Alligator mississippiensis: one gene and its partners. The main gene of each other region encodes a partner of the protein of the gene in region 2 in a complex. Links are inferred from orthologs where the notes say so. Each region holds a gene or a part of one and is shown on either strand. Other genes may lie near its edges. The genes, in order: LSM8, PRPF6, SART1 and LSM5.

The links.
Region 1: PRPF6 (region 2) and LSM8 share a complex: the UniProt entries of both Homo sapiens proteins name them as parts of the U4/U6-U5 tri-snRNP complex. The link is inferred for Alligator mississippiensis from reciprocal best matches to the Homo sapiens genes PRPF6 and LSM8.
Region 3: PRPF6 (region 2) and SART1 share a complex: the UniProt entries of both Homo sapiens proteins name them as parts of the U4/U6-U5 tri-snRNP complex. The link is inferred for Alligator mississippiensis from reciprocal best matches to the Homo sapiens genes PRPF6 and SART1.
Region 4: PRPF6 (region 2) and LSM5 share a complex: the UniProt entries of both Homo sapiens proteins name them as parts of the U4/U6-U5 tri-snRNP complex. The link is inferred for Alligator mississippiensis from reciprocal best matches to the Homo sapiens genes PRPF6 and LSM5.

Annotation. Positions count from the first base shown.
Region 1 is NC_081827.1:48,187,901-48,195,572, forward strand, and holds the start of LSM8 (LSM8 homolog, U6 small nuclear RNA associated), read right to left. Parts: upstream 3,003-7,672; 5' UTR 2,904-3,002; coding exon 2,873-2,903; intron 2,218-2,872; coding exon 2,177-2,217; intron 1-2,176. UniProt on the Homo sapiens protein: Plays a role in pre-mRNA splicing as component of the U4/U6-U5 tri-snRNP complex that is involved in spliceosome assembly, and as component of the precatalytic spliceosome (spliceosome B complex).
Region 2 is NC_081832.1:2,898,840-2,905,660, reverse strand, and holds the start of PRPF6 (pre-mRNA-processing factor 6), read right to left. Parts: upstream 3,009-6,821; 5' UTR 3,002-3,008; coding exon 2,832-3,001; intron 2,533-2,831; coding exon 2,364-2,532; intron 291-2,363; coding exon 172-290; intron 1-171. UniProt on the Homo sapiens protein: Involved in pre-mRNA splicing as component of the U4/U6-U5 tri-snRNP complex, one of the building blocks of the spliceosome.
Region 3 is NC_081838.1:4,483,654-4,491,670, reverse strand, and holds the start of SART1 (U4/U6.U5 tri-snRNP-associated protein 1), read right to left. Parts: upstream 3,014-8,017; 5' UTR 2,929-3,013; coding exon 2,514-2,928; intron 2,247-2,513; coding exon 2,189-2,246; intron 939-2,188; coding exon 883-938; intron 319-882; coding exon 192-318; intron 1-191. UniProt on the Homo sapiens protein: Plays a role in mRNA splicing as a component of the U4/U6-U5 tri-snRNP, one of the building blocks of the spliceosome. May also bind to DNA.
Region 4 is NC_081828.1:129,629,902-129,637,876, reverse strand, and holds the start of LSM5 (U6 snRNA-associated Sm-like protein LSm5), read right to left. Parts: upstream 3,001-7,975; 5' UTR 2,946-3,000; coding exon 2,900-2,945; intron 1,443-2,899; coding exon 1,347-1,442; intron 1,119-1,346; coding exon 1,091-1,118; intron 1-1,090. UniProt on the Homo sapiens protein: Plays a role in pre-mRNA splicing as component of the U4/U6-U5 tri-snRNP complex that is involved in spliceosome assembly, and as component of the precatalytic spliceosome (spliceosome B complex).

The DNA of each region.
Region 1 (7,672 bases), on a different chromosome or scaffold from region 2:
AGAAACTAACCCATAATAATTTAGTTTCAATGGAAGAGAAATGAGTTACCACAGGTTAGCCACCACTTACTACACGTATTATACAAACAGGCAGTTACTGTAGAGCTGTGATGTTCAGCCTTCCTACCCCACAAGCCAGATAAGTGGCATGGAGCTGCTCTGTGTACCACATCCCATGCAAGTGGTCAGTCCTCTGGCCTGATCCAGCAAGGGACTGGTCTGCAGGTAAATCCAGCTGTAAAGTAACCCCTGGCGTGCTAGTTCAATCCAGCCCACAAGGCTCCCCATGGCTCTGGAAATTTGACAGGACAGAAGAAACAATTAACGCTGCTGCTGTTCCCCTGCCACCACATTTCCGGACCTCAGGGGACACCCAGAGACAGGATAATATGGCCACATGGGCTGGATCTCACCTATTGGCCAGAAGTTGAGCACTACTGCTATAAAGTATCTGATGCACAGTACAGTCAATAACTCTTAAATTATTTTAGTAGAGAAGAAAATCAATCAGAATCAGTGTCTGTATGGGCTTTGTACACACACATACCCTCACCCCCACGGAGCATCCAGCCTAAGGGCATGGGAAAACAAAATCCAAAGTAGCTATGAGAGGAAAACATAGCTAAACAGGAAGTGGCACAGAACCTGACAGTTCTCAGCAATGTACAGCTTGAGTCTTGAGAGTGGATTTGAAGGATGGGGAACAGGCTTGGCAAAATAAGGGCATGAGTTGTAATGGTAGAAAGTACTCCAAGCCAATCACATTTGGCTTCCTCATAAGTGAAGATGTTCAATAATAAGGTTTCAGACTATGGCTTTATACAAAATAATCAGGATGCTGTACTGAACCAGGAAATAAAGAGTTATTAGCATATCACTGACAGCATATAATCTCTTTTTCTTATATTTACAAGCAAGAAAACTCATAAAAGTTTGTTGATTAGTCACATGTGCTTAAATTAGCAGAAACATTTCTAATAGTTAATACTAAGAAAATAAATCGAGGTACTTCAAAAATGTTAAAATGGCTGCCACACTGCAATGCCTGGCAGAAAGCTGAAAACAATGTTCTCTAAATTTGGATAACATTTTGTGCAAGTTATACGATAGATGCTTGGCATATCAATTTCAGTGACGAATAACACTATCATATTGCATCATTTTGAAAGCAAACCAACTAGACCTTTAATTTATCACACCTCAAATTTGTCTTAGGTCATTACAAGAGACTGAATTTCAGGAGAAAAAAGCTAACAGTCAAGCTAAGTACTGAACTTTTAAGAAACAGAACACAAATAGAAACTTTGAGTCTTTGATTGGTTTAATGATAATCATAATGCTTAAATACAGAATTTGGTAGAGTAAGTTCCTTCTCACTATAAATGGGAATGGATGCAACAATATACACAGTACATACCAGAATTCCGCAGGCCAACTTTATAAGAAGCCAAGAGAAAATATTTGCTTTTACAAGTTTATCAGAAGAGGGGAATTAACAGGCTAAAAAGTGCTAAACCCTCAGGTGATAAGGCACAGCACACAAGCTGCAATAATGAAAGGGATCTCTTCCAATAAACTATATTCAATCACTCTTGTTCATATCACACTCAACTCTATTATTGAGGCTTTTATTACGAGAGCAATGGAGGATGGAACAGAGGGGCTGAAGCTACTTTTCAACTTGCGAGCACAGTTATAGAGCCTCTTTTACCTTCAGCTCATCATTATTTAACTTTTAACAGATTGTGTTTGTGGTGTTTCTTTCATATCTTATGTTAGATAAGAAAATGTGTCAGGTGTATTGTCATGAACTTCTGTAACATACACCAAAGGAGCAGGCTATAAACCCTGGCCCCTCTATTTAGAGTTGGGGCACAGCCCTTCATAAAATGAACAGATAGAAGTAGACAGGCTTTGTGGCCCCTAGTGCAACGTGCGACTCTAGAACAGAAATGGGTCTTTATAACTTGCTGCATCTTGTGAACTCCTTCAATTGCTGCCACCTGGTGTACGCTTCCTGCTACTGTCAACCCCACTTAATATCACACGCTTTTGGTGGTCCTGCACACACTGTCAGGGTTTGACTGTTGACGTTTACATCCTAAGTGCTGCCTGTTGGGTTGCTAAAGACTTTTGAGGAGACGCAACATGATGTTGAGAAGAAGAAATGTCTCACCACTATCATCCTTCCATCCGAGGTAATTACAGCAACAGTGCCTAGCGGGCCCATTAAGGAAACACTTAAAAAAATCCAATACATTGCATACATAATGCCCCCCCCTTCAAATGTTTGGCCTTGAAACCATGCAAAGCCATTTCATGTTCCAAACTAGAGGTGTCAAACTCATCTACTCCCATGTGCAGGATGAGGACTGCTGGGCCTGTCTGCTGGAGGGCTCAGGCCGGGCCAGAGCTTGTGCGCAGAGCTCGCCTGCCACAGCCCCCACGCAGCAGCGCGCGCCCCACTCCGGGGCTGGCCTGGCACATGGTGTGTGGGGCTGGCAGGAGACATGTACTGCTAGCAGCCCTATCAGCCTGACCCTGGGGCTGGTCCAGACAGGGCCCCCAGCTGCCTGTGTGGGTGCGGCAGGCAGCACAGGCCCCGCGGGCAGCTCAGTCCGGCTGTGTGCAAGGTGTGAGACCCGCTAGTCGGGTCACAGAGCCCCAGCCCGCGCGGCCTTGTGCTGGGCTCCGCTCGAGAGGATGCAGGAGGCGGGCGGTCCGCGAGCACCGCCGCCCTCGCCGCAGCCTGCTCCGGATGGGGGCTCCAAGCGCGGACCCGCTGCCTCCAGGGCCCGGCTGCCCCGCGTCCCGCACGCACCCGCCTGCTCCCCCCCCCATGACGCCACACGAGCGAGGCCCGGAGGGATACGGTTGATGTAGTTCTCCAAGGCGGACGTCATGGCGGCAGCTCCCGCGCCCCGCACCGGCCCCGGCTACAGGCTCCCGCGAGACAGCCCGCAGCAAATGACTTCCGGTGACGGAAGGAAGTGCGGCGCTCTGGAAACGGAGCTGACGCCAACTGTGCTCTGTTCTCGCGACACTGGGCGCGTTGGAGGACCGGGGCGGGGGGGAGGGGGAAGGTTTTGAATACGCATGCGCTGAAACGAACCTGCGCCTCGGCAAGAAAGCGCGGGGGTGTTACTGCGCATGCGTGATCCCGGGGAATTGGCTGCGCTGTGCCGCACTGGGTTTTCCCTCCTGCCAGAGGCTGGTGCTGACGTCACGTGTCCGCGTGCGGGCGGGGCTGGCTTGCCAGGGAGAATTCGTCCAACAGTTTCAGTGGCTTTAATGAAAGATACCGGATTTACCCAGAGCCTTGTCTGCTTATGTCCTCAGAGCGACACAGCTACAGCCTACACCCCTGAAATTATTTTATTGGAAGCCCAAAATTATCGTATTTGCTGAAAAACTATTGTACACTGAAACAGTATGCAAATAAGTCTTCTTTCTTACTTTACTTTCTATTGTTCACTGCCCGTGAATGGGTGAGAACTGGGTCATCAAAGTTGAAGCATCTCTTTATTTTGAGGCAAGCAGTAATATGAAAGTACTGAAAGCAAAACCAAAAGTTGGTAAGACTCCCTGAGAGTGACTTACCTTTTGCATACGCTGCTTCAATTAGCTTTCTCAAAAATGACTGTACATTTTGAACCATTTTTATTATTACTGATCATACATCGTAGGAGAGTTGAAATTATCATACACCTGGCAACACTATTTGGGCCCCTTCAGATGTCTAGGGAAAGGTGTGATGGGATCTGATGTATGACCCACACAGTCGCCAGGCAAGAGGTGTGTCTGGGACCCAGCATCCGGTCCACTCACACCCTATTGCCAGTCACACCTTAACGCCATCCAGTGGCGACACATAGGGGGTGCATGGGGATGCATGTGCACCCCCTGAGAGCGCTGGTGCAGTGCACGGGACACTGCCACGGCAGTGTGGGGCACCCCCTCAGCTGGGAGGCCTGGGAGCTGTGGGGCTCTCAGCTGAGGGGGCATAGCTGTCATGCAGTATTCCCCACTACATGCACCCTCCTGCTTCCTCAGGGGCTGCTCCGCCATGGGAACACTTTCATGACTGCAGAAGGAAAGGTACAAAACAGTGAGGGGAAATGTTATGACACAATGTCTTCACCTACTGGGGGTGTAGTCTTAAAACCTGCTGAAGGTTAGCACCTACACCCTTTTCTTCAAAGAAATAAGCTCATCTCCTGCCTCAAGCTCTAACTTTATAGAGGGAAGGATGTTTTTTATGGAGTGATAGTTACTTTACACCTGTAGCCGGTCTAAATGAATTGCACAATTAACCAGTAAATTGCATAATATGTGTAATGTAGATAGGGCCCTTCAACATTGCAATTGCATAGTTACTTCTTAACTTTTTAGTACTTGTCTGTGTAAGCATTCAAGCTGGATTCTTCTGTTTTGCATTAGTATTATTGCCATACCCTTCAGTTAAGGCCTTACTGGATAAATAGAGCTACTTTGATGCAAATTAAACAGCTTTGTCTAGCTCCCATTTACGGTAGTTTGGGGTCCTCCCTTTTTCAGACAGTGATGAAAATGATTAAAATGACAGTGATGAGTATTTCTTTTATTGAATTTCATAACTACTTGAGGGAGAGAGGGAAAAAAACCATAGATGTACAAAGAGGTCCTGGCACTTCAGTAGTAGGTGAGAAACTTGTTTTTCTAAAATCAGAGGGCCTGTTATGTTCTCCTTCCAATCAGAAACATGGGAAAAGATGCCAGTCTGTACTGCACAAATATATTTGCAGCCTGAGCTTTATATAATGCTCAGCCTCTTAAAGCTCTTATTATAAAAAGCTTAAGAGCTGCCACTAAACCTTAGACAAGGATTGGAATTAATTATAATGTGTTACAGTTAAGAAGCTAAAGGCATTTTTGTGTCATGACATTTCCCTCTCTGTTTTTGTACCTGTCGTTCTTTTAATAAAAATAATTTTTTTGAGACGGCCAAGAATTAAGTGCCCTGTAGGAGTCAGAATCCCATGAGATTTCCATTGGGAAGAATGTACATGGCCCACAATGCCACAGTATACTAACACCTAGAAATCTTTCATGTACTTTTATCCTAACAAAAATCTGTAACAGCAGTTGGTAGCCTGCTTAGGCTATAGGCCAGTGATCCAGTTGGGACCGAGGTGCCACCACTGCTTTTCCCCATGACAGGGGAAGCAACTACTGCTAATGCTCCACAGCCACAAGCTGGATCAAATGACCCACAGGCTGGATGTGGCCTGCAGGCCATAGGCTGCTGAGCCATGTCCTATAAGGTAGGCAAGAATTATTAACCTAGTTTTGCAAAATGGGGACTGAACTAATACGGACCAGAGCCCATATAGAACATAGGCTGCAGTACCTAATTCATAGGAGCCTGGTCCCCATACCTTTATGGGGAAGTACATGGGCTTCATGTGAATAACAAGGGGAGAGATAGGCAGCTCAAAAGAGGTATTAAAATACAGATGCCATACACAGTAACCTAGAGCTTCCCAATAGGAAAAGATGAGAACAGGAGCAAGTATTAAATCTTAGTCCTCCGGTGTCTTCATCCACTCAGATGCATAGTCCTAAAACCTGCTGAAGGTCAACACTTACGTCCTTTCCTTCAAAGGACTAAGCTCATCTCCTGTCTCTCAGGACTATACCCAAACAACAGACCATAGGCTATTCTGGGAATAGAAGGGCACCATCCCTCATGCTGATGTGCAGAAAAATAATTGAGGATCCATTGGGCCAGAAATGGGAGTACAGAAAGGGAGGGAGCAAGACTGTGGCCTCATAGTTTAGACATACACCTGCAGTGAGTCCAAGTTTACCAGGTTCCTTTTTCCAGGACTATTTCTGTATCTTCTTAATATAAAATATAGAAACAGCCCTGGGCTCTGGTTCTCCAAGGCTGGCAGATGGTCCTCTAGGGCTAGAACCAGCAGTGTAGCACTGTAGCAGAAAGCCCCCTTTTCCTCTTGCCTGCAGTTGCTCTCCCCTCTTTGAATAAGTTTGTCCTCTTCTACCTTTTCTTCCTTCCTCTTTCTTTCACTTTAAGATAAGGAATTGTGTTTTAAAAATTGTATGTGTGCATTTTGTATCTCCCCGTGTATTTTGGTATTTTTATCTATTTGTGTGCAATGGCATTTGTAGCTTATATTTTATACTGCTCACCTTTCAACTTTCAACTATAAATGTGTTTAGTAGCAATGTTAATAAGGGCAGGAGTCAAACTTTGGCTTCCCTGTATCAGGCTGGCCCCTGAAAGAGGGAGTGAATCAGTGATTGAATGTGTAACACTGTAGCAGGCAGCAATTAACACCTGGGAAACTGCAGATCAACCAACGGAAGAAATCAATAGAAGCCAATGTAACAACCGGGAAATCTCTAAACCTCACTGTTCAAGGGCTAGAAGCCCTGGCCTGAGTTAATCAACGCCGGGGACCAACTTTTGGGCTGAATATCTCCAAATCGACCGCTCCCAGAGCCCTATTCAAAATTCATCAATGGACTTCCAAACCTGCACGTACATGCGGACAACCCCTGGGGCTGACAGATGCCATCCAGTAGCCACCAAGGGGGGAAGTCCCACGAGGGTCAATGACCCCTGGATTGGGCAAACCTGAAAACTGGGGAATCACCAAAGTCTGCCAAGGACAAATAAAAAGCAGTGAAAAGTGACCCTCAGGGGCGCCCTCTTGATCTCCCACTTGACCAGCACCCGACCCGTCCAGCCAGAAGGACCAGCCGGCAACCCCCTTCTTGAAGATAACACCACACTGAAAGAAGCCTCGACTGGCCATCGACGGCAGACTCCAGCGCTTGTAGGATAGGTATACCTGACTCTTGTAGCTTGCTACTGTGTGTGTGCATGTGTGTGTGTGTGTGTGTGTGTGTGTGTGTGTGTGGAAGGACCAGCCCCAAGGTTTATGATTTAACTCATTACAGTGTTTCAATCCGCCTAATAAACCAGAATTTTAAGGATCCCAAGTTGGACATTTGTAGCCAACAGCACCAGCCTCAGGACAGGAGCTGCAATTGATTCACTTTGCTCCTCCTGTTCCTAGGAAGATACTGAATGACTGCATAGACATACAGTTGCCATCAAGCTCTTATATTACTAACAAATAAATTATTTTAATAATCCCTTTGTTTTATGCTGTCATGCATATATTTACTTGCTCATTGTGCTTACCTTCATTTGAGTAAAGGCTACATTTACATGTAAATATTATTTATTAATCAGTGTTTTAAAAACAAGAATACTTGAAGTTCCCTTCTTGATTAAAAATATGGATGCCTAAAGGTGGGATTTCCAGAACATTCACTTGCCCTACCTGCTTATCAGCAATCTGAGGTTGCCATGGGGACAGCTGTTGTGACCTTTAGCAGGATATACAACCAATATAGCAGCTAAACATCCCCCTGGGGCTGTGTCTGCAGTCATGAGTAAGCTTCACTCTCCTGCTTCCTCATGGGCTGTTTGGCCATGGGAATACTGTCATGACTACTGATAGGGCTGACCAAGTCATCTGTAAGTGGGCCAGCAAGCACATACCCCAGAGACTTGTGAGCCTTGTGGCTGGCTTAAAGCTTCAGAGCTGAGCAAGTGAGAAGCTCTGTTATTATGGTGATTGTGTATTGCTTATTAAAT
Region 2 (6,821 bases):
CACTTTTGAAGCAGAAAGTTCTCTCACACTGATTCAGTAGTGACTTTTGAAAATGTTGCCCTGGTAACAGAGCAAGGCAGCACAACAACAGAGAAGCCAGAAGAACTGATTCCTAGATTTATACCATAACTACAAAACACTGCCTTGTTGAAGTTCCATAATTAAGCCTACCTTCTCTCTTTTCTCCTTTCGTCCATCCTCTTATCCAATGCTGCATAAATAGCATCCGCTTCCTCATCATCTTTCTCATAAGGACCACTTGAGAACAGGCTCCCAGCATAGCCATTAAACTGAAAATTTTAAAGGGCCAAAACATTTTAGTTTCAAAGTTCAGTTACACATCTAGCAAAGCCAATACAGTCATTCAAGAGAAAGAAAACCCCTCAGAGACAATTTTAACAGTAAAAAGGCAGCAAAAGGGCACAGCACATCAGCCCCCTTGGCTCTGCAGGGACTTGTAGACCTCCTGCATCTAAAAAGAAAGACCTATAAAGGATGGAAGACTAGATCCACCTCAAAGGAGTATTCTGCACTGGTCTGGACCTGTAGGGTGCAAACCAGGAAAGCCAAGGCTGCGACTGAACTCCAACTGGCTACATGTATCAAAGACAATAAAAAGTCCATTTTTAGATATGTGGGGACCTGGAGGAAAAGCAAGGGTAACACTGGACCCCTGCTAAACCATATGGGACAACTGACAACCAATGCCCAGGAAAAAGCCAACCTGCTTAATAGGTATTTTGCGTCAGTTTTTCACCAGTCCCAAGGGTGGTAGTCAATAAAAGTCAATCACTGTGGTGCACCGTGACCAGTGGAGTCCCCCAAGGCTCAGTCCTTGGGCCTATACTGTTTAACATCTTTACTAATGATGTGGACATTAGTATCAGAAGCGGACTGGCCAAGTTTGCCGATAATGCTAAACTTTGGGGTAAAGCGTCTATACCCGAGGACAGGAGGGCGATCCAGGCTGACCTGGGCAGGCTCAGAAAATGAGTGGATGAAAACCTGATGGCATTCAACACTGAAAAATGCAAGGTACTCCACCTCGGGCAAAAAAACCCGCATCGCGCTTATAGGCTCGGCAGTGTTACACCTGCTAGCACCGCAGCTGAAAGGGACTTGGGGGTCAGGATTGACCGACCACAAGATGAATATGAGCCACCAGTGCGATGTCACAGCTGGTAAAGTGAGCAAAACTCTGGCTTGCATCCATAGATGCTTCTCAAGCAAATCCTGGGATGTCATCCTCCTGTTGTACTTGGCCTTGGTGAGGCCGCAGCTGGAGTACTGCATCCAATTCCAGGCTCCACAATTTAAAAAGGATGTGGAGAGGTCTGAAAGAGTCCAGAGGAGAGCCATGCGCATGATCGGAGGGCAGGAAAACAGGCCTTATGATGACAGGCTGAGAGCCCTGGGGCTCTTCAGCCTGGAAAAGCGCAGGCTCAAGGGGGACCTGGTGGCTGCCTATAAGTTTATAAGGGGTGTAACACCAGGATCTGGGGGAACGTCTGTTCACCAGAGCGCCCCAAGGGATGACAAGGTCAAACGGTCACAAACTCCTCCAAAACCATTTCAGGCTGAACACAAGGAAGGAACTTCTTTACTGTCCGAGTCCCCAAGGCCTGAAACAGACTGCCGCCAGCAGTCGTGCAAGCGCCTACTCCGGACTCCTTTAAGAGACATTTGGATGTCTATCTTGCTGGGATCCTTTGACCCCAGCTGACCTCCTGCCTCTGGGCCAGGGGGCTGGACTCGACCATCTTTCGAGGTCCCTTCCAGCCCCAACGTCTATGAAATGCAACTAAAATAGCCTTAAAGCAGCCTATCATAGTAGTGAATTTCATCAGCAAAAACCTCTCGGTAAGTGATAATTGCATAAACGTTTCATTAGCAGAAATGTTTAACTATTGAAAACAAATGCAAAACAAACAACGCTGTATCTCAGTACGAGTCAATTTTACTGAGTTAAACGCAAGTTTTTATTGGGACCGGATCATCTCAACGATGGGGTAAAAAGCAGCTGTTTCGACTTCGTTTCTGGAGAAGCATCAGAGGAACGGTCCACAAAGCACTCACCTTGATATTGTATTTCAACATCCCTCCCCAAACCCCCTGGGCTCAGTACAAACAGCCCGACCGCAACGTGCAAATATCACCACGGAAAAACACGCCCATACGCGCTGCGGCATGACACACGCACGCAACTCGTGGCAAGGGGTGCTGCGAACTGGCTCTGCCGTTGTTCCCTCACATAGCACGGCACAGGGCGTCGGGATGATTTTGTGTGGTGTTTTTGGGATGAGGGGGGAGGCAGGGAGAGAGGTATTACATTTCCCCCCCCCGTCAGACAGGAGAAGCATCACCTCATCATAATTGGTGTCGTTCAGATCTTCGTCATCGTCGTCTGCCGTCTGGTTTTTCTTCATCTGGTCCCCGACGGTCCTCTTCCCCGGCGGCGCATGGCGATCGTCCACCGGGTCGTTGGCATCACGCGCCGGGCCGATATCCGAACGGGTGGTGAAGCCCGTAGCGCTAAACGGAGAGACCAGCAGCTAGGATTTAGTCTGCAGCGATAATACGAAGGCGAGGAACAAAACAATCCAGCCGTTCACAAGTGCAGCACCCCACTGCTGAAACACACTGTGCAGGAGCAGCTCCCCCCCTTCAAGGGACACCATGGTGGAGCAAGGAAGCCGAGCTTTTACTGCCCGGCTTCCCTCACAAGGTTTGGTGCCTCTAAACGCGCGGGACCAGGCCCGACGGGCGCTGAGAGGCGCCGCAGCCCCCCCTCGCCTCGCCCAGGCCCGGGGAGGGGTGGGGGGAGGGCTCACCCGCGGCCCAGGCCCGGCACGTAGCCCAGCGGCGCGGGCATGCCCAGGAACGGCTTCTTTTTCTTGTTCATGGTGCCCGTGATGGCGGCGGCTAAGCCCGAGGGAGCGGCCGAGCTGGAGCCGCCCGCGCCTGAGGAGGAAGAGGAAGAGGAAGCGGCCGCGGCGGCCATTTTGGGAAGCGGAGGCGGTGCTACCCAGGCAGGCACCGCGGCCGGAAGTCCCGCCTACGGGCTTCCGGGCCGAGGGGCGCAAGCAGAGGGGAGGGGGGATGGAATGTTGGAGGGGGTTGGCTGTGAGTGGAGTGTGCGCATGCGCGCCTGGCTCAGGCTGCTTGCAGGTGCCTGCTGCTTGCTGCTGCAAACAAGCATCCCCCCCCCCACTGCAGGCATGCCCCTTGCAACGCACTGCATGTAACATGCATGTGCATTACACACCACATGGCAGAGGTCAGGCTCCGCAACATTGCCAACTTTTGTGATTAAAGTTGTCGTAAAAGTTCACGCGTCACCGCAGCTCTTTCTTTTATATAAGTATTAGCAATATAAATGGATATGAAGGAGCTACGCTGTTGCATGTTCCTGACGCGTAAACTTTTACAAGCCACGCCAAAAATCATGAGATTTGATAATGCTGCGTGCACGGCATCCCTCCAGCCCTCGGTGCGTACGGGTGCTGCTCGGGGTGCTCTGCTTTGTGTCGCCTTCTGGCTCCCTTGATAGCAACCTGTGACCTCCCGCTTGGCCCTGTTGGTTATTTGTCCCAAGGAATCGGTTGTGACCTCCCTTATTAAGACTTATAATTTCATTGGCCCACGATTCCCTTTGGCCCGTCGAATAGGCCCCCAGCCTGGGTTGCACCATTCATCCCCAAGGCCTGCAATGCACGGCGATGGAGCCATGCTGCGGGGAAGGTCTACCTAGGACCAAGGACAGAGGCCGTGCTTGTATTAATATAGGGAAATCCCTCCCAGGCTTGCTACCAATGTTTCAGGTCTCAGGGGTAGAAGCAGCATTGGCAGCCCATGCACAGACAAAGCCCAGGAGTCTTTTAGCATCATGAGCGCTGCGGCACACAGATCTGTGCTACTTGTTGGGAGATGCGGCTTCATTTGCCGACTGGCTTTGAGGGGGTCTCTCTCATGGGGATGAAGGGCCTTATTAACACAGAGTTTGCAAAGTCCAGGAGGACCTCATAAGAAGGGGAGTTCAGCTACACAGAGGGTTTGACCCTCCTTCAAGGAAACCCCTTTGAAACCCAGCTGAGGAGTCTCACTCCATCAGAGCTCGGGAGGCACGCACGTTGTTCAGAGGTCGGTGGGGAAAGCTTCATCGTCATCACGGGCGGACGAGGTTCTTTGAGTAGATGTGACATTTTTTGTATTAGGCCAACTAAATAGTTGGGGAAATTGTTCTTTGCAAGCTTTTGGGCACAACCGCCCTTCGTCCTTAGACGAACACGATTACAACCAACTTGTAATCACAGGGCATTTGCTTCTGCATCACGGTGCAGCAGGGTAACCCCTGTGCTCACATCACCCATGCACTTTACGTGTTCAATGCATGCCACTAAATCCACCCTGGTTTGCTTGATGCTTAGCCCAGCTTCTTTAAAAAATGGTGCGTTCCTAAAGCAATCCTCGCCTGAGTGACAGCAGCAGAGCCAAACTGGACATCAGCTCTGCTGGAAATATCACTGGAGTTCCAGCTGCTGGTGGATGGGTCTCCACAAGACACCACGTAGGTCTAAAGTGACCACTGCCCGCTATCAGAGATTTTTCAGTACCTCCTGAGAAGCAGAGAGGCTTTCCCCCATGAAATCTGCTTGGTTCCGGTTTTGTATATACCACCAGGTGGAGTACTTAGCACATTAACTTGCCCCTCATTAAATAATCACCTCTCAGGTGCATAATTGAAGACAGGGAAAAAAAGAGACTCAGATCGGTTCTTTTTTGAATGTCCATGCGTGGAATTCAGACCGAGTCTGCCTTAATGCTTGAGAGCCAATGCAGCCTCAGCAGGCTTTACAACTTCCCAGAACTCATTCAAAACTCACAGGGGGAAAAAAAAAGTCTTCAGAACTTGAGTAAAATTCGATACACTCCTCACCCTAATGATCACAGCCTAGTTTTGTACCTCAAGTGCACTACTTTCTCATCAGGCCTTTACAAGAAAATCAATTTCATATCTTAGCTCTCTCTATGAAGTTAAATTTAATCTACGTGGCTGTATTTTGCTGTATTGCTTATTTAAGGGATAATATCCATGGCGGTGGAGTATGCAAAGCAATAAGCTGAGCTTGTACTTGATTAAATGCTGAAGCGGAGCGACGGCATTTAATCAACAGCAAACACCATTTATTGCAAGCATGCTTCAGTGCCATGAAAATTACTGCTATTGTACTGCCAGAGAGCAATTTTAGGCATCTATTCTTGTTTGAAGAGGGTTTGGAACTGGTATGCTGCTATCTGTGTAGGATTTTCTGGTGATGGTTATATCTGGGGTAGGAGAAATGGGGGGAACTAAACATCGCAGCTGACTTTGAGGATGCTAGAATAAGCGTGACCTGACCTCCCCCCATTCCAAGCAAGCCCCAAATTGTAGAACAGTCAATTTTGCATTGCGCTGGAGGGTTTGTTGTTGTCTCCGTGCATTGAATGTAAAGGAAGGGGGAGAGGAACTGGAAGGGATAATGTGCAAAAAGGGGTGATTGGAAGGGATGGGGATAAAGGCCGTGAACCCCTACAAACCAAGCCTTGCCATAGTCCGTCCCCGCTTCCACCCCCTCCAGCCCCGACATTGGCTCTGCTACCCCCCTGATGGAAAGCAGGACAGTGAATAATTGATGAAGGGGGTCCTGATCAAGGGTTGAAGCTGAATCGCTGATCAAGGGTTGAAGGACTGTGTGGAGAAGAGTGACGCCGCTGGAGATGCTGCCTGAATGCCGATCGGGTTGAGAGTGTCACGCCTAATGAGACAGCGCTCTCTTTTCAGGACCCCGGCAGGCTCGGTCTTCCTCGGGTCCAGGCTGTAATCACTGTCATCGCTGTCACTGTTAGCAGTTATTATTTGCACTGTGCTCAGGGCTTTGTTAACCCCTGCTGCTGTGGGGCAGCAAAGCAATAAAGCGTGCACAGATACAGTCTCCTAGAAGACATCCAAAGTGGCTCTTTTGGGCAATACAGTTGGCTATGGCCTACTACATCTTCTCTGGTGCTTGGGACTCCGCGCCTAATGCCTGCTTGAATACACTGGATCTTTTCATTTCTCTACTAAATCTAGAGCAGATGCCTGTGGGCAAGGGAAGGTGGGCTTTGATTGATTGATCTGTCCCCACTGGCAGATCAACAGTTTTTCTTCTGGCTCCAACTCATCCCCTGCTGCCTGGACTTCACATGACACAGGCCTCTTAATATGCGTCCCTCCCACACCCAGTTATTTTGCTTTTGCAGCATGCATATGTGATCCTGTAAAATTAAATGCATGCAAGCTATCCCACCGGGCTAGCATAGCAGGACTGGATGTGTAGTAGCCAGAAAGCACCTACCAACAAGGACTTCTTCAACATCAGTGTACCCTGGCCCTGCTGAGAGCTCGGGAGCACGTGGTAATTCTGGTCACAGTGTTTCGGGAATGCCCCTAATGTCACACCCCATCAAGAATGGCCTATGGCCGACCCACGTTGGTTCATGTTGCCCAGTTGGGGTTGCTTCCCAGATGCTCCCTGATGACACAAGGCATTAAATAGAGACTGCTGCACAATCAGTCCATAGTAGAGCAAGATGCCCAGTGGAAACTGCCTCTGGACCACATAGTCCTACACAGGGGCTCAGCACATGCACTTTCACCCCCTCAGCCATCCAGCAAAGACTTTGGGTGGACCCTTTTCTATGCACTAACTGCACACGAGGCCATCCAGCTCTAAACTACAGCTCTTTCCTGCCGTTTCATGGCCAAGCAATTGCCTCCTTTGGCGTATCCCAAACTTTTAGCT
Region 3 (8,017 bases), on a different chromosome or scaffold from region 2:
AGATATCCCACGGTTCTTTGCAAAGAAACACTCTTGGATTCTGCCCCTAGAACTTGTATGCTCTGGGAGACAAAAGCAGGGATGCCGCTGTGTTTGGGTGAGTGGGTGCGAGGGTGGGGGCAGGATAGAAGGGATGTGGGCCAGGGCCAAGACAGCAAGGGGGCAGGGATACAGCAAAGGGGTGAGATTACCCTAATTTCTGATTGAGCAGGCGTTTCTCCTTGGCAGCCGCCAGCTTCTCGCGGATCTCCTCACGCTGCCGCAGTGCCATCGGGTTGATGACATCGGCCGCCATCGGGTCTTCCTTGGTGCCTGCCTCTGCGGGGGGGGGGAGCATACATGAAATATGGGTGTGCCCTGGACCCCCTGAGACTCCCTCCCCAGGCCCCCCCAAGAACCCATAGCACAGAGAACAGCTGGGGACAGGGCTGGGAGGGCCGGGACTGCACCAGCCAGGAGATGGGAAGGGACCGGGGGCGCTGAGAACTCAAGATACCTGGATTCACTCCAGGTCTGGAAGTGGAGTGAGGGGGTGGGGGGGGTGATAGCAGGGGGTGCTAGATCTGGATGCCTGGGTTCTCACCAGCTCTGGGCAGGGAGTGTGGGCTGGGAAACCAGATGCCTGGGGTCTCTCCCAGCTCAAGGATAAGAATGAGGCCTGGGGGATTGCAGCAGGGGTTGAGAGAGCCCGGACCCCTCGGTTCTCTCCCAGCTATTGAATGGGAGTGGGGGCTGAGGTAGGGAAAGACAAACACTCGGACCCAGATACCTGGGTTCTCTCTAGCTCCAGAAGGCAAGTGGGGGCTGAGGGGTTAGAGTAGGGGGGCTGGTAGGCTGGGTGCTTGGGTTCACTCCCCCCAGGCATGCTCAATACAGACTTACCCTTCTTGATGGTGCCCACTTCCAAGGGCTTCAGGCCCAGCTTGGCTCGGAGTTTGCTACAGACAGAAAGTGGTGACAGTCACAAAGTGCCTGGGGCTCAGAACCAGGGCTCCTGGACCAGCTCCCCTCCTTCATGACCCATCCACCCTCATGTACATTGGGGCTGTGACCAAGACTGATGTGTCACACTATTTATTAAACTGAGTATTAATGAATCAGGGTGGTGGGAACCCAGTAAGCCAGGGGTGGGCAATGACTTCAGCTAGAGGGCTAGGTAATGAGTTCTGGAGAACCACACCTGCTAAATCTTTTGCATCTCATAACAGGTCAGAGACAAAAATTGCATACAAAAACCCAGGCATGTACTATGACGCATTTTAGTTTTATTTCAAAAAATAATTTTTAAGCCTGGTCTCCGTTTCAAGTACTACAAAAACAGGCAACTGTATAATAGCTCAAAAATAAAATCTTACTCTTGTATGTTGTCTGAGCAGGGTGTTGAGGAGGATACGTGTATGTGGGGGAGGGGGGGTATCCATGGAGGAGTGGGTGTGGAGGGATGTGAGGTGCATGTGGAGGTGGGCTGCCTGTGCACTAGGTACCAGGAGCTGGCTGGGGGTGAGGAAAGGTTGGGGGGGGGGTACAGGGGACACATGTAACAGAGCTTGCCCCGCCGGGGTGGTGCAGCTGCAGTCATCCTCCCACTCCACCCCATTTGGCTGGCAGCTGCCCCCACAGTGCCCCGCAGGGGACTGAGCCCTGTCCACTGCCACCTGGGGCAACAGATGCCGCGCTCCCAGCTGCCCCGGCCCCAGCCAGGGCCCACTTCTGAACAGGGCTGCTGCAGCCGCCCAGGTGCTGCTCCTGCCCCCCGCAGCTCCTCCTCCTCCCTCCTGCCCATGCTGCGCTGCTCAGGGCAGCGCACAGCGCAACCAGCAAAGAATCTCCCTGCCTGATCTCACAAACAACTGGATCCATTCACCCCATTAGAACGAGATCCATTCAGCCCAAGATTATTATGGGAAACATGGGGTCTGGGCTAGCAGTGCCTACCCCCCTAGCAGGGCTCATAGCCCCTCCTCAGGGCAGCTGCACTTGCCAAGACCTGACCCATGGGGGGCAAAACAGGCTTCCCATGAGCTGAGGGCAACTAGGCGGGACTGGAACAAAGGCGAGGTGTTGCGCCCCGCTCGCCTGAGAGCTGTAGCCCCCCCCAACCCCAGCCCCAACCCCACCTGCATCCACGGGGTGAGGCACGACTGCACCACGGGAAGGTGGGGGGGATGGGAAAGGAGCTCTCACTCACTTGGTCTCCTCAATGCTGAGGGACAGGGCTTCTCCAGAGCCGCTCTTGAGCGCTGTGGCTGGTGCGGAGGGGAGCAAGGGGGAGACGTGAGTGAAGCCAAGAGAAGTCCCCTCTGCCCGGAACTTCCCAGCCAGGACCCAGCCCGAGCGTCAGATCTGCCACAGACCCGGGCTCCTCACAGCCCCCTCCCGACACCCCATGACCCCCACCCCACAGATAAGCCTCCACCCTCATCTTCACTCCTCCCCATTGCCCTGCTCCCCGAAAAGCAGCCCCTCCCTCACTCCCCCCCCTTTCCTGTACACCGCCCCCACGCCCCCCTCACCGGTCTCGTGCCCGTCCTCGCGCCGCTCGCGCTTGGCCCGTCTGCCGCCCTCGGCCTCGGCGGCCCCGCGCTCCCCGGCCCGGCCATGCCCGCGGCTGCTGCTGCCCCCGGGGGCGGCGGCCTCGTCCCCACCGCTGCGCCGCCGGCTCCGCTCCCCGCGGCTGCGGCTCCGCTTGCCCCGGCGCTCGCTGGAGCCCGACCCGGAGCCCGACCCGCCGCCGCGGTGCTTGTGCTTCTTGTGCTCCCGGTGCCGCGAGGAGGAGGAGGAGGAGGAGGCCGAAGCCGAGGCGGGGGCGGGGGCCGAGGCTGGGGGTGGGTCCTCCGCGGGCCCCGCCCCACCCCCGGCGGTCCCAGAGCCGGCCCCCGGCGCCGCCGCCGCCTCCCCGCGCTCCCGGTGCTTCTTGGAAGAGCCCATAGCGACGCAGAATGGCGGCCGCAAACCCTTCCGGGGTCAACCTCCCGCCGCTTCCGGGGTGAAAGACGTCCCTTCCCGTCTCGCGAAACACTCCTTCCGGGTCACGGCTTCTACATCCGGCGAGGTCAGGACACGGCTTCCGCGTTCGTCGCCACTACCTCCGGTGGACGTGGGGAAGGCTCAGTCACATGACTTCCGTGGTTACCGTCGCTACTTCCGGTCAGTCATACCACTTCCAGTGGCCAGCCTTACCTGCTTCCGGGAAGTGGGAGAGCGCTGAAAGCTACTTCCGCTTTGGCTCCCGCTAAATACTATCTTGTGCCCAGCCGCCGTCGGACTGTACCATTCCTGTAGTGGAAGCGGGGGTGGAGTGCCCCTGAGGGGTGGAGGGAGGCTACTCATCCTAGGCCTTAAATAACATTACCTTAATTGGGGTTGAGGGTTAACTCCCCCCATTAAAAGGCGGAGAATGGTATGGCCCATACACTGCTCTCGAGGCATGTAGGAACACATCAGTGGTAGAATAGGGAGAATTCTTATCCCCCTACTCAGGGAACAGTGGCATGACCCACGTATGCTGGAAGGGGGAGAATCATATCGGGGTATAAGGAGGAAAGATTCCCCCCCCCCCCCAGGGGAAAGGATGGTGTTATCCATTTGCTGCTCTGGATGCGTACAGGCAAATACCATTGGCAGTACAAAGGGGGCGATTACCCCTCTCCTTTACAAAAGGAATGGTATGACCCACACTTCGTCTGTAGGCGTGGGGGGCGGGGGGATACTATTAGGAGTACAAGGAGGAAACATTTCCCCTCGGGAGTGGATAGGATTGTATAATCCACATGCTGCACTAGATGCATATTGGGAAATGCTATTGGTAGTAGAAGGGGTGGAATATTAGACCCCCCCCAGAGGAAAAAGTGGCATGACCCACCTACTGCTCTGTAGGCACAGAGGGACATACCATTGTAAGTAGAAGCGTGAGGAAAATGTCCTTTCTCCCAATGGAAGGAAGAGATGGTATGATCCAGAAGGGGGGAGATTGATTTTCCCCACCAAGAAGGCATGGTACAATCCGCACAGTCTGGTGCATCCTTAATGGCATGTACCATTGATGGATCGTGGGGGTGGATTTTGCACCCCTGCAGCACAGCGCCCCCTGGCGCTGTATGAGGGCAGCGCCTGCAGTGGCTCAGTCTCCCTCCCAGCTGGTTGCCCAGTGCTGGGAGAAAACCCAGGCGCGTGGGCTCTCAGTCATCCCAGCTCTAAGCCCCGAGTCCGACGCCCCTCCCAGGGCACAAGAGAACCCGCTCCTGCTTCCAGCCCCCGGACTCCGCGTCCTTCCCCTAGCTCGAGAGCCCAGCCATCCCGGCTTCCAGCCCCAACTCCTCCCCAAGCAGGAAGAGAACCCAGGTGTCCCGGCTCCCAAGGCCTGTTTAATTCAGGGCAGAAGCTACGCTACTCCAGGGCCTTCTCAGGTGGATCCAGAGGTGGGTCTCGGCCCTTGTCCGCGGAGACCTGTCAGGAGGGCACAGCATCCGCCATGGCAAAGGAGAGAACCCAGGTGTCCGGGCTCCCCCCTTAATTCACCAGACCCTGCTCCTCTCCGATAGCTGGAGGGAACCCAGGCGTCCGGGCAGGGGGCTCCTGTTCATACCTGCTGAGGGGGGGCCCTGGTGCCCCGCCTGCCTCCACAGCCCGGCCTCCTCGATGCCCAGCGCCTCCAGCACCTGGGAGAAGCGGTGCTCTATGGCCCGGCGGGCACCGGCCTGCAGGGCAGGGGCTGTCAGCTCCCAGCCGCCCCAGCTGTAACCCCCCAAGTCCCACGCCCCTCCCAGAGCACGAGAGCACCCAGGTGTCCGGGGCGGGACCCGCACCTGCATGACCCTCTCAAAGAGGTAAGGCCGGCTGCTCACGCGAGCCTCCATCTCCCGCAGCTGGGCCTTGTACAGCGCCATGCGCGCCCGCTCCTGAGACCTGGGGGGGCAAGTCACATAGGGGGCAGGTTACAGGTGCCACCCCCACCCTCCCAGCTGTCAGGGGACCCCTGCAGACCCTCCTGCCCTGGGCTTGGGCTCCTGCAGGGGTCTATAGGACTTGGGATTTCTTGGCAAAGTCTGTAGGGGCCGGAGAGTCTATAGAGGCTAGCTAATCTCAGAGGATCTATAAAGGCTGGGTGTTCTCTATTGGCAGGAGCCATGTAGTTTTCCTAGAACGGCTGTGATCTGTAGGGAATTGATAAGGATTGAGGGGTGTCTATAGGCCCTGGGACCTATAGGGAATCTTTAAGGGCTTGGCTTCTATAGTCTGGGCTCTATAAGGGCTGGGGGTTCTATAGGAGGGGGAATCTGTAAGGGCTGAGGAGGTTCTATAGGGCATCTGTAACGGCTAGAGATTCTTTAGGGATTGGATGTCTACAGGGTAAGAGCTGGGGGTCTACAGGGCACGGGGCTATAAGAGGTGGGGAGGTTCTATAGGGCACATATAAGGGCTAGGGGCTGTGTAGGGGTTGGATCTTTAGGGTTTTATTGGGTCATAGATGCCAGGGTCAGAAGGGACCTCAACAGATCATCGAGTCCGACCCCCTGCCCGGGGCAAGAAAGAGTGCTGGGATCAGATGACCCCAGCCAGGTGCCTATCCAGCCTTCTCTTAAAGACCCCCCAGGTAGGGGAGGGCACCACCTCCCTCGGCAGTCCATTCCAAATTCTGGCCACCCTTACCGTGAAGAAGTTTTTCCTGATATCCAGCCTAAATCTGCTGTCTGTCAGTTTGTGACCACTGCTCCTTGTTACCCCAAGAGGTGCCCTGGTGAAGAGAGCATCTCCGATCCCTTGCTGCGTCCCGCTAATGAATTTGTAGGCGGCCACAAGATCACCTCTCGCCCTTATCTTGCAGAGGATGAAGAGGTCCAGGTCCCTCAGTCTCTCCTCGTAGGCCTTCTCCTGTAAGCCCCTGACCATACGAGTGGCCTCCTGTGGACCCTCTCGAGTCTATCAACATCCTTCTTGAAGTACAGCACCCAAAACTGGCTGCAGTACTCCAACTGTCCAACCAAGGGGAAGTATCACCTCCTTGGATCTATTTGTCGTGCATCTGCTGATGCACGATAAAGTGCCATTAGCTTTGCTGATGATTTCGTCACACTGCCGACTCATGTTCATCTTGGATCCACTATGACTCCAAGATCCCTTTCTGCTTCTGTGCTGCTGAGAGGGTCACTTTCCAGGCAGTAGATGTGCTGGATATTTTTGCACCCTAGGTGCAGCACTCTGCACTTGTCCTTGATGTACTGCATCCTATGGTGTACTGCCCACTTTTCTCACTTCTCCAGGTCTACCTGCAATTGTTCCCTACTCTCCGGAGTGTGTACTTCACCCCACAATTTAGTATCATCCACAAACTTGGACAGAGTACACCTCACACCCACATCCAAGTCACTGATGAAGATATTGAAGAGTCCAGGTCCAAGGACTGAACCCTGCAGGACCCCACTACCCACGTTCATCCAGGTCGATACCTACCCATCTACTACCACTCTCTGGGTTCGACCGCTGGGCCAATTTGCCACCCACTGAACCGTGTAAACATCTATGTCACAGCCTCTTAATTTATTTCTGAGAATAGGATGAGATACCGTATCAAAGGCCTTGCTAAAGTCCATGAAAACGACATCCACCTCTACTGCATCTAAGCATTTTTTACACAGTCATAAAACGAAACCATATTGGTCAGGCATGATCTACCTGCTACTAATCCATGCTGGCTGCCCTGTTGCATTACTTTTCCCGCTGGACTCCCACAAATATGATCCTTCATGATCTTTTCAAAGACCTTTCCAAAGATGGAGGTGAGACTGACTGGCCTATAATTACTCAGATCCTCCTTCCTCCCCTTCTTGAAAATAGGGACCACGTTGGCCCCTTTCCAGTCCTCCGGGACCTGACCCGAGTGCCACAAGCGCTCAAACAGCCAAGCCAGCGGTTCTGCTATGACATGGGCCAAGTCCTTCAGTACCCTCAGATGCAGCCCATCCGGGCCTGCTGACTTGAACACATCCGGCCCATCCAAGTGACTCTGCACCAAGTCAGTGTCAACAGTTAGTAGGCTGGTGTCCCTCTGATGCCCGTCTAAGAATCCATTGGGAGATTTATCTCGAGCCCTGTTCAGGAACACCGAGGCACCTGCGTTAGGTAGAGGTCCTGCACGCAGGTTAAGAACCTACGTGAACGGTTGGATTTGGCTGACTGCTTCTCCCAGCACATGTCCGGGTACGTCCCTAGACCGTTTGGCTTCTGAGAGTTGCCTCAAGAATTCCAAGTTGAGCTTTTCCTCTTGGTGTGGTAGTCTGTAGCAGACCCCTACCACCAAGTCCTTTTCCCCTCAACCTCCACATATCCAAACCCACAATGCCTCTACTTTCTCCTTCTCTGATCCCATTTTGATTAGGGTGGATGTATAATGCTCCTTTACATAGAGAGCAGCCCCACCCCCTTTCCTCCCTACTCTGTCCCTTCTGTACAACCTGTAGCCCTCAATGTGTACCACCCAGTCATGGGTAGGGTCCCTCCCACCAGGTTTCCATTAGCCCCACTAAATCAAAGTTATTATCTGCAACCGGAACTGTGAGTTCTTCCTACCTTTTCCCCATGCTCCTAGCATTAGTATAGAGGCACTTGAGCCCTCCGAATGGTGCCTTTGATGCCCCGCTGTTCTGATGCCCAAAGGGCCCCTTAGTACGTACCTAGGGTGCACTGCTGCATGGCTTGCAGTTCGTAGGTTCTAGACGCTCTCCATCTCTTGCCTCCCCATCTCCCATTGTACTTAGTTTAAAGCCTGACTTATAAGGGATCTACATGAGCTCAGGGTAATATGAGGACTAAATCTATAGAATTCTATAGGAGTTGAGATCTATAGAGGATCTATGAGGGCTAACGGGTATCTACAGGGCCTCATGTCTATTCAGGAGCTATAAGGACTGGGGAGGGCCCACAGGGGAACTAAAGAGGCTGGGGGTTCTATAGGGGACCTATAAGAGCTGGGGGTTTATAACAGCTGGAGCTAAGAGCTAGGGGGTCCAAAGGTCAGATC
Region 4 (7,975 bases), on a different chromosome or scaffold from region 2:
CATCAGTTACAGAAACTCTTTTCTGTAGCAAACACTAAGGAATATCAACAGTGCTTTCAGCAGGGTAAGAAGAGCTCACTGGTGCCATGAGTAAACTGGTTCAGGTACCCAAGGTAACTTGTTTAACACTAAGTTAGGGATCTCTACACTACACAGTAGCTGGCAGGGTACATACAGCTACCATCTAGGAAAAAAATGCCAAAACAAAAGCCTCCTCTCAACCACAGAAGAACGTACATAGCATTGATACTGGTGAGGTATCCATGCTCAATCACTGACTTTTCCACCAGAAATGCACAGTTCAAGGCTGGCCAATCTTCCTCACCCTTCTAGTCACATACCAAAATCCTAACATGTTCAAGAGCAGAAGGACATAAAACTTTCAAAATGGCATGCCCCAGAGTTAATGATCTTCAGACAATGCCCTAGCTTGAATAATAACTAACTGTCAAATGACTCAGTCAAATATGGAAAAAACAAACAACTGGGGGGAGAAAGGTTTATATTTAATTTTTTCTCTTTCTTCAGGAGTAGTTTTTAGGATAAATTGATAAGCATTGCCTGTGGATCCTAAGCTGTACGCTCCTAATATAGTCATTTAAGAGGTGACTGAAAAATTACTGGACAGTAATATATACACTTTCAAACTGAGGCTTAGGGGTGCGGACAGAGGTAATGTTGAGATGCTTCAATTATCTTTGAAGAGCAAGCCAAACAGGCATGTACTTCTTTTAATGTACTAAAACAAAAATAAAAATGGTGGAACCCTCAATAGTACTTGTTTCCAACAAGATTATTTCCATAAGCACTTTTTACTACAGTGGCATGCTCTGCAGAGCATGACAGGAGATGTCTGGGTTCTCCACCTTCCCACAGTGCTCTACAGGGCATTGTGACAGTGAGCACTTTCTTGAGGATCTTCCCCCGCCTCCCTCCACCACACACACCAGACTCAAGAAGCCTCATGCCCCACCATCCTCCTCCAAATAGGAATTCTGCTTTCCAGAAATCAGTATATATTCTTTTGTTAGAATTTTTCGGCATGTGAAAACAACGAAGTTAAAATAGCCAAGAAAGATATAATACTTACAATTCTGTAACATCCTCTAAAACCATGTCTGAAGTCTAGGATCAAGGAATAAAACTACAGAAAACATAAAGTTATTAAACTGAAGTTTATTTTCATTTCATAACAAAAGCCATGCCTTTTTTATTTCCAACTTCAAGTAGCATATTTGTCAGTGCAAAAATGTTTGGAGGTTGGAAAGAACTTAAAACACATGTAAAGGCATTGAAGAGGCAAACACAAAAATTGATACCCTGAAAATGTTTCATGTAAAGGATACTGACAAAGTCATCAAACCCTAGGAGCGTGCCAACAATTTCTTTATCACTCTTCATCACAATGTGAATACGTGAGCCTATACATTTGTCCACAAGCTCTGCAAATTTAAAAGCATTTGTCATCATATAGAATAAATGGACATCTATTTTTAATGTTCACCTTTTACAGAATGTGAGGATAAACAAGTGCACATTCAAACAGAATGCCAGAAACATTGACAGACCAATACATATAAAAATAGCTTTTGTTTGGATATCCACTGTTATATACACAACACAAGGGCATACCGAGTACTATATAACCCTAGCGAGCCCACTTTGGAATGAAGTTTTAGTAATATTACTATTAATGATAATCAATTTCAACAGTACCCAACATGCTAAGCACTTTCCAGATCCAGCTGCATAGAAATCTAAATAACAATTCACATAGGGTTTATGTTTACATTTAATCTTTACATTTTTTTCTACATCCTATTAACCAGTGATGCTCAACCACCAGCCCATGAGGTAATGTCATCTGGCACATAGGTCTTTGCACAGGCCCCAAAATTTGGAGCAGTAGCAGTGTTAGCAGCCCCTTTCCTACTGCTAAGGTTCCAGACCTGGGAAAAGCCTGGCAAGCTGGATGCTGTGGCTCTGCGTGCAGGGCTGAGCCTGCACACGGCTAGATTAGGCACGTGGGGTCAGGCCAGCCCATGGCCAGAGTGGGTAGACAGGGGTCAGGCTGGCATGCAGCCAGTCCAAAACAACCACCCCACGCAGCATCCGGCCTGGGATGAGGTTGAGGGTCCCAAAGGTTGAGCAGTGCTGCCATTAACAAAGATAGATAAATTAAATAATACATTCTTAGAAGGTATAATCCACATTTAAAAAAATCTTTGGGACAGCAGAATTTTAGCTAGGGAAGAACGGGATCGTTTGGGAGCTCCGTTTTTCCCTCCTGCCTCTGTAAGAGAAGCATATGGGAGGAAACCTTTTACAGGCCAAAATGCCTTTGGACAGACATCTTCCAGAGGGGAGCTGCATCCTTACGTGGCCCCATCTACGCGTTACCTATACTGCACAACTCATGGGTGAAATGTGCAATAAGTGGCCTGGCCACTAGTGCAGAGTAATGAGCACAGCATAAAAAAGTGACCAAGCAGCTGCAGACAGCCAACGGGCCGCTGAAGTAGCACTTCCACACACACAACAACCCTGCGGCCGGTCCAGTGACAGCCAGAGTCCCCACCCCACCCTGCTGCAGCATCGCCCCTCCCACGCGTCACGTAACACCCTCCCCCCCCCCCCAGCCTGCGCACTCCACGTACGACGTACGTCATCATCGTTCCACCCACGCCGGGAGGGAGCCGCGATCGCAGCGCAGTCTCACGTGACTCCCCTCCCCCAGCCGCGTCCCGCAAACGGTCTAACAGTTCTCGCGCTTCGTCCCCTCCTCCAATCCATCCATCCCTGTAGCCAGTACTAGCGCTTCCCACGCACCCAGAGCCCGCGGAAACCAGAGCCTTTGCTTCCTCCCCGCTCCGCTAGACCCTAGCGGAAACCCACTCACCGAGCGGCAGGAGCTGCGACGGGTTAGTCGTCGCGTTGGCCGCCATTTTGGAAGCAGACCTGCTCAATCGCACAGCCTCCAAGGGGAAATAAGCCGAGCGAGATGCGAAGGAGCGAGCTGAATGGCTTGGAGCGCCCCCTCCCCCGCCAGACTCAATCAATCGATGTTGGAGCAATTAAGTAGACCTTTTGCCAAGCCCCTTTCGCATGCTCTGGCCCCAGGGCCACGCAGGGCACTGACCAAGGGAGACTTGCATAGAGGACGCTGCGTCCTTACTTGTGCATGCTCTGCTTTTCAGATCCCCTAAGTCAGCCACTTTGCACAGTCTGGAGGGACCCGTGGCAGCAGGAGGCAATACTTTCTCACTTTGAATTAAGTTTATGGTAGTGCAAAAGGCAGGCAAGTTTCTTTGGGTAGATGCGGCATCTTTTATTAGACCAAGTAGTTAGAAAAAAGTTTTTGGCAAGCTTTCGGTTGCATTCACCCTTCTTCCAGCACAGGGAGTCTATCTATGCTGGACTGAGACTCCAAGAAATGAGAGAAGCTAAAAGTGTGGCTAAAAGTGCAAGAGTGATGTCGTAGCCCGGAGGGTCTGCTAGAAGCAAGGATTTCTTAGAACAATCGCTCTTATTGGATCAGCCAGTTGGGTTAAAATAAAGTTAGACCAGCTTTCAAGACTTGAGGAAGAATATCTTGCGTTTGAAAGCTCGTCTAACTTTATGCCAACTACATAATTGCTCCAGGAAAAGCTATCACCCTAAGAAATTCTTGCCTTTTGCATAATTAAGTTTATAGGCATTTGACTGTGTTCTCTCCTGTCGCTGGGCCTTGATGAGCAACACTGGAAGCGTTAGGTCGGCTGAGCACAAATCATAGATAGTTGCAGTTCTTCTCACCTTGTGCAAACTTTCTGCATCCTGTGAAAGTCTTCAGGGTTAGGCAAGGTGCAGGTAAAAATGCAGTTGGGAGTTTCAGATGCAAACCTATGGACAGTTGTGGGGGTTGGGTTTTTTTGGCTGGATCAGGGAGCAGTGGAGTTAGCAGCCCCCCATAGAACACTGACCAGCCCTTTTTAATACTGTTGTTTTAGGAAAGGCTGTAAATAACCTTCCTAGCTAGCTTTTTAGAACTGCACTACTCACGTCTATGGTCCGACAAAGGGGCTAGAAAAATGACCTAATTGCTGCCTGCTTTGAATGTATTCTGGTCAGCCTGTACAGCCGATAAGTATCCCAGTGAAAATAAAGCCAAATTTACCTCTCTGAACAAAGTGATCCAGAACATACACACACTTACAGTGACACTTAAGCCAGAATGAACTGCAATGATTAGCAGAAAAATCAAGCATCTATAGAAACCACACACTAGTGCTAAGTGAAAATTGCCTTACAGGAGAAGGTCAACCTACGGAGTCTGGGATGGCCTACATTTCTTTTGGAGTGATCAGTCCAAAGAAGATAACAGAACCTGGAGTTTGTTTTACTACTGGATGGACTTTAGTTGCCATAAAGCTGAGAAACATTTGTCGTATAACCAAAGCAATTTCAGAGAAGGGAGAGGCACAACAGGTAGGATCTTTACACAGCAAATATAAAGAGAAATGCAGAAAACAGGATATTGACCTCTACTGTATCTCTGTTGATCTTAAAAACACAGTTAACACTGGCAGCAGAGAAGGCTTACGGACGCTTCTCTTGGATGCCCCAACAAGTTTGCTGTAATAGACAATATTATGATGGGACAATGACAAGCATGATGCCTCCAATCCATTTTCAGTAACAAATGGTGTAAAATAAGGCTGCATCCTCACACCCACAATTTTAATGTCTTAACTGCCAAGCTACTAGCTGTTGCCTGAATTTAATATAGGTATTCAGTTTAGAATGCGGACTGACAGAAAGATAGTTTAATCCCAACTGGATGCAAGCAAAAACAAGTGTGATTGAGGACTCACCCAGGAACTTCTGTTTGTTAGTGACTGACTGTCTTGGTTATTCATTCCTAGAAAGATATACAAGTCATTACGGATCACTTTTCAGTTGTGTGCTCACATTTTGGATTATTAGCCTTAAAAAAGATTGTGTACCAGCTTGTTCCTACATAGGACATGCTATAAACTGAATTAACCAATCTAGGTGATGCACAATCTAGGTGGTGTACAACCTACACCCCTCCAATCCAGGTGATGCACTCTCATGTGAAGTTCACTCAAATGATGATGTTGGCAATCACTTAGAGCTACTGCAGCCTTTGGAAATATACATTAACGCAGTGGTTTTCAACCTTTTTAGACTCAAGGCACTACTTGAAAAATGTCAGCTCTTAGCTTTCACTTCTTTTTTTGACTACAGAAAAATTAAAGAGAAGTTCTTCTGTGGCAAAGAACTCAAAGACCACAACAGGTCAGAATATCTTTGACACGATGGATTCCTATCTGGGGTTTATCTTGTAAAGCATGAATATGTGTTTGCACACCTACCAGTGCTAACATTGTGTTGCACTCCACAGCACCCTTGAAAGGACTTCATGGTACCATGGCTGAGAATCACTTCATTAATGTCTTTAGAATAGGGGATTTATAATTTTATAGACAAAGGAGACATACAAAGGCAATATTCCTGACATTACATTCCTATTCTTGAACAGGAAAACCCATTATCTCACTCATGAGATGAAATGAGGGCTCCTTCAACTACGAAGGAAAATGATAAAGATTTAAACCTTCCAATATCCAAATGGAGATCTTATGTTTGAGAAAACAAGTTGTGATTTTCCAAAATTCTGCAAAACATTTAGACGTGCATCATGTAAAACTTGCTAACTCTTCTCATCTCCCATTTAGGTTCCTGGGCCGGTGGCTTTCTTACCAACCCTAAAAGGAACTAGTAAAAAACTTCAAGGCTTTATTTACCTTGGGGCACAATTTATTGTTCCAGCACAAGCCTCATAAATAGTATCAAAACAAAGCAACTCCCCTGACTAACACAGACTATAGTCTCCATGGCTTTTAAAGCCATAACTATACCATTTCTCTCCTGAACCCACATCTGCTCCTGGGGAAGTTAGTTGTGCCCACTTGTTCCCAGTGGGTCACATCTAATACCTGCAATTAGGCAATATAAAACTGCAAAATAGGGCTGAAGCAAGTCTGCACTCATGCCCTCAAAAAAGCTCAGCATCGCTCATTAGCATTTGCATTGTCTAATTGCAGGCTTTGGGTATCCCCCAGCAGCAGTGACTGACTAAGCTTTACTTCCCAGTCAAGAGAGAAGTGGTATAGACATAACCTTACTGAACAGCTTTCATTCTTCACCTAGCACTAATTCTTGAGTTCACACTCCCCAAGTCTTCTACCAGTTCTTCTGTCTCATCACAAGCTGCTCACAAATCCCAGCGAACCTGGATTTTAGTCACATGGTTATCATGTGACATTTGTGCTTTTATTTTCCTTCACTTGGGGCTAAACCTGACAAGTCACCTTGTCACACCTCTCCTGTAACATCCACACAATTTGTCTAAGGAAGACCCAAATATAAATATCTACACAGTAAATTGGTAACACTGCCATGAGATAAGCAGGATAAATGCAAAAGCATAGTCAAATGTTTTCCAACAGAAAAGCTGCAGAAAGTCACTGGTGCATTAAGCCTTTATCTCAAAAATGGATGCTTGAGACTTCAATGAAAAGAATGTCACACTGCTCATGGAAATGTGTTCCTAATCATATTATTAATGTAAAGCATATCTGTTTCAAGTCTCACTGCAAGTAAAATCAAGTCAGCTGATCCTGATTGTCATTATTACTTTCCCAATGCTGCACTTGCTGACAGTTATCCTGTAATATATTACAATGCAGGTAGGAGAACTATGTTACTAATTTGTGCTTTGTTACTTAGCTACGCGCAGAGGGAGTGAAAAATTTCACAAAGTCAGAGCAGTTTGTGCCTGACATTATTCCACCTGAGTGTATGACAGCTTCCAGACCTCTATTCCTCTTCCACAAGTGCCCATAGCTACATAGGGTGAACCATGGAAAAGTCACAGAGTATGGCAACAATTTGCTTTAAAATACAGCAGCAGGCTTCCTGTTTTATTACACAAGCTGACATCTTGTTCTACAATGCCTTGTTCTTTTTATTGCCTCAGCTAGCAGGAAGGAGAATTTCAAACAATGAAAAAAACCCTCTCTCATAAACAATAATCAGATTTATCCAGGAACCTCACTTAGATGATTCCTTATGACAACCTGCAAACTAGTGAAAACAGTCTCAGACTATACCTCTTCTTTGCTGAACTGAATATGAAAGGTAGTTTCTAGCCCTTCTTTTTGGTTATAGCACATTACTGGAGAAGATAATGGCAGTATTTCATAAATGTTTTTCTTTCCTGGCTTTATTCTAAGCATTATAGAGAACTGTGTGATTGAAAAGACCTAATAAGTAATCATTCACCTACCAGTGTGGAATAGTTCCTTACAGCATGTCTTTTGTTCCCTAAAATATATTTCTTATGTAATGGAACTTTTGTTGAAGCTGATGAATATTATGTAATTGCAGACTTTAATCTGTTGTTATAGTTGGAGTCTACATGGATTGCATTAATGATGAGATTTTCCTGGAGCATTTATCCTTTTCTTTGCTTTTAGAAAGAATCCTTTCATCCAATGTCAACAGAATCCCTCAATAACTAAGGGCCTGGTCTTGCACAGCTGTATTTTTGAAGAGTTTTGCTGTTGACTTCAGTAGGAACAGGATTTAACCTGGAGAGAGATCAATTTGTCTGAGCATAGCAAGAGGAGCCTAGATCGCCTACGTTTTAATTCTTTCTCTGACACACACACTCTCTGTGGCCTTCAGTTAGAGGATATGAGGCAGAGTGGTTAAATGGCTATCTGAAATACAGGGATCATATTATATACTTATTAATCTTAGAGGTAGAGCACAGTGATTCTCAACCTTTGCAGACTCAGTACACCCCTTGAAAGATACCAGCTCTTCATTTTCACTCATTTTTTAACTACAGAAAAGTAACAAAACAATCATTGACGATGCATAGGAGATTCACACCCTACGAAAA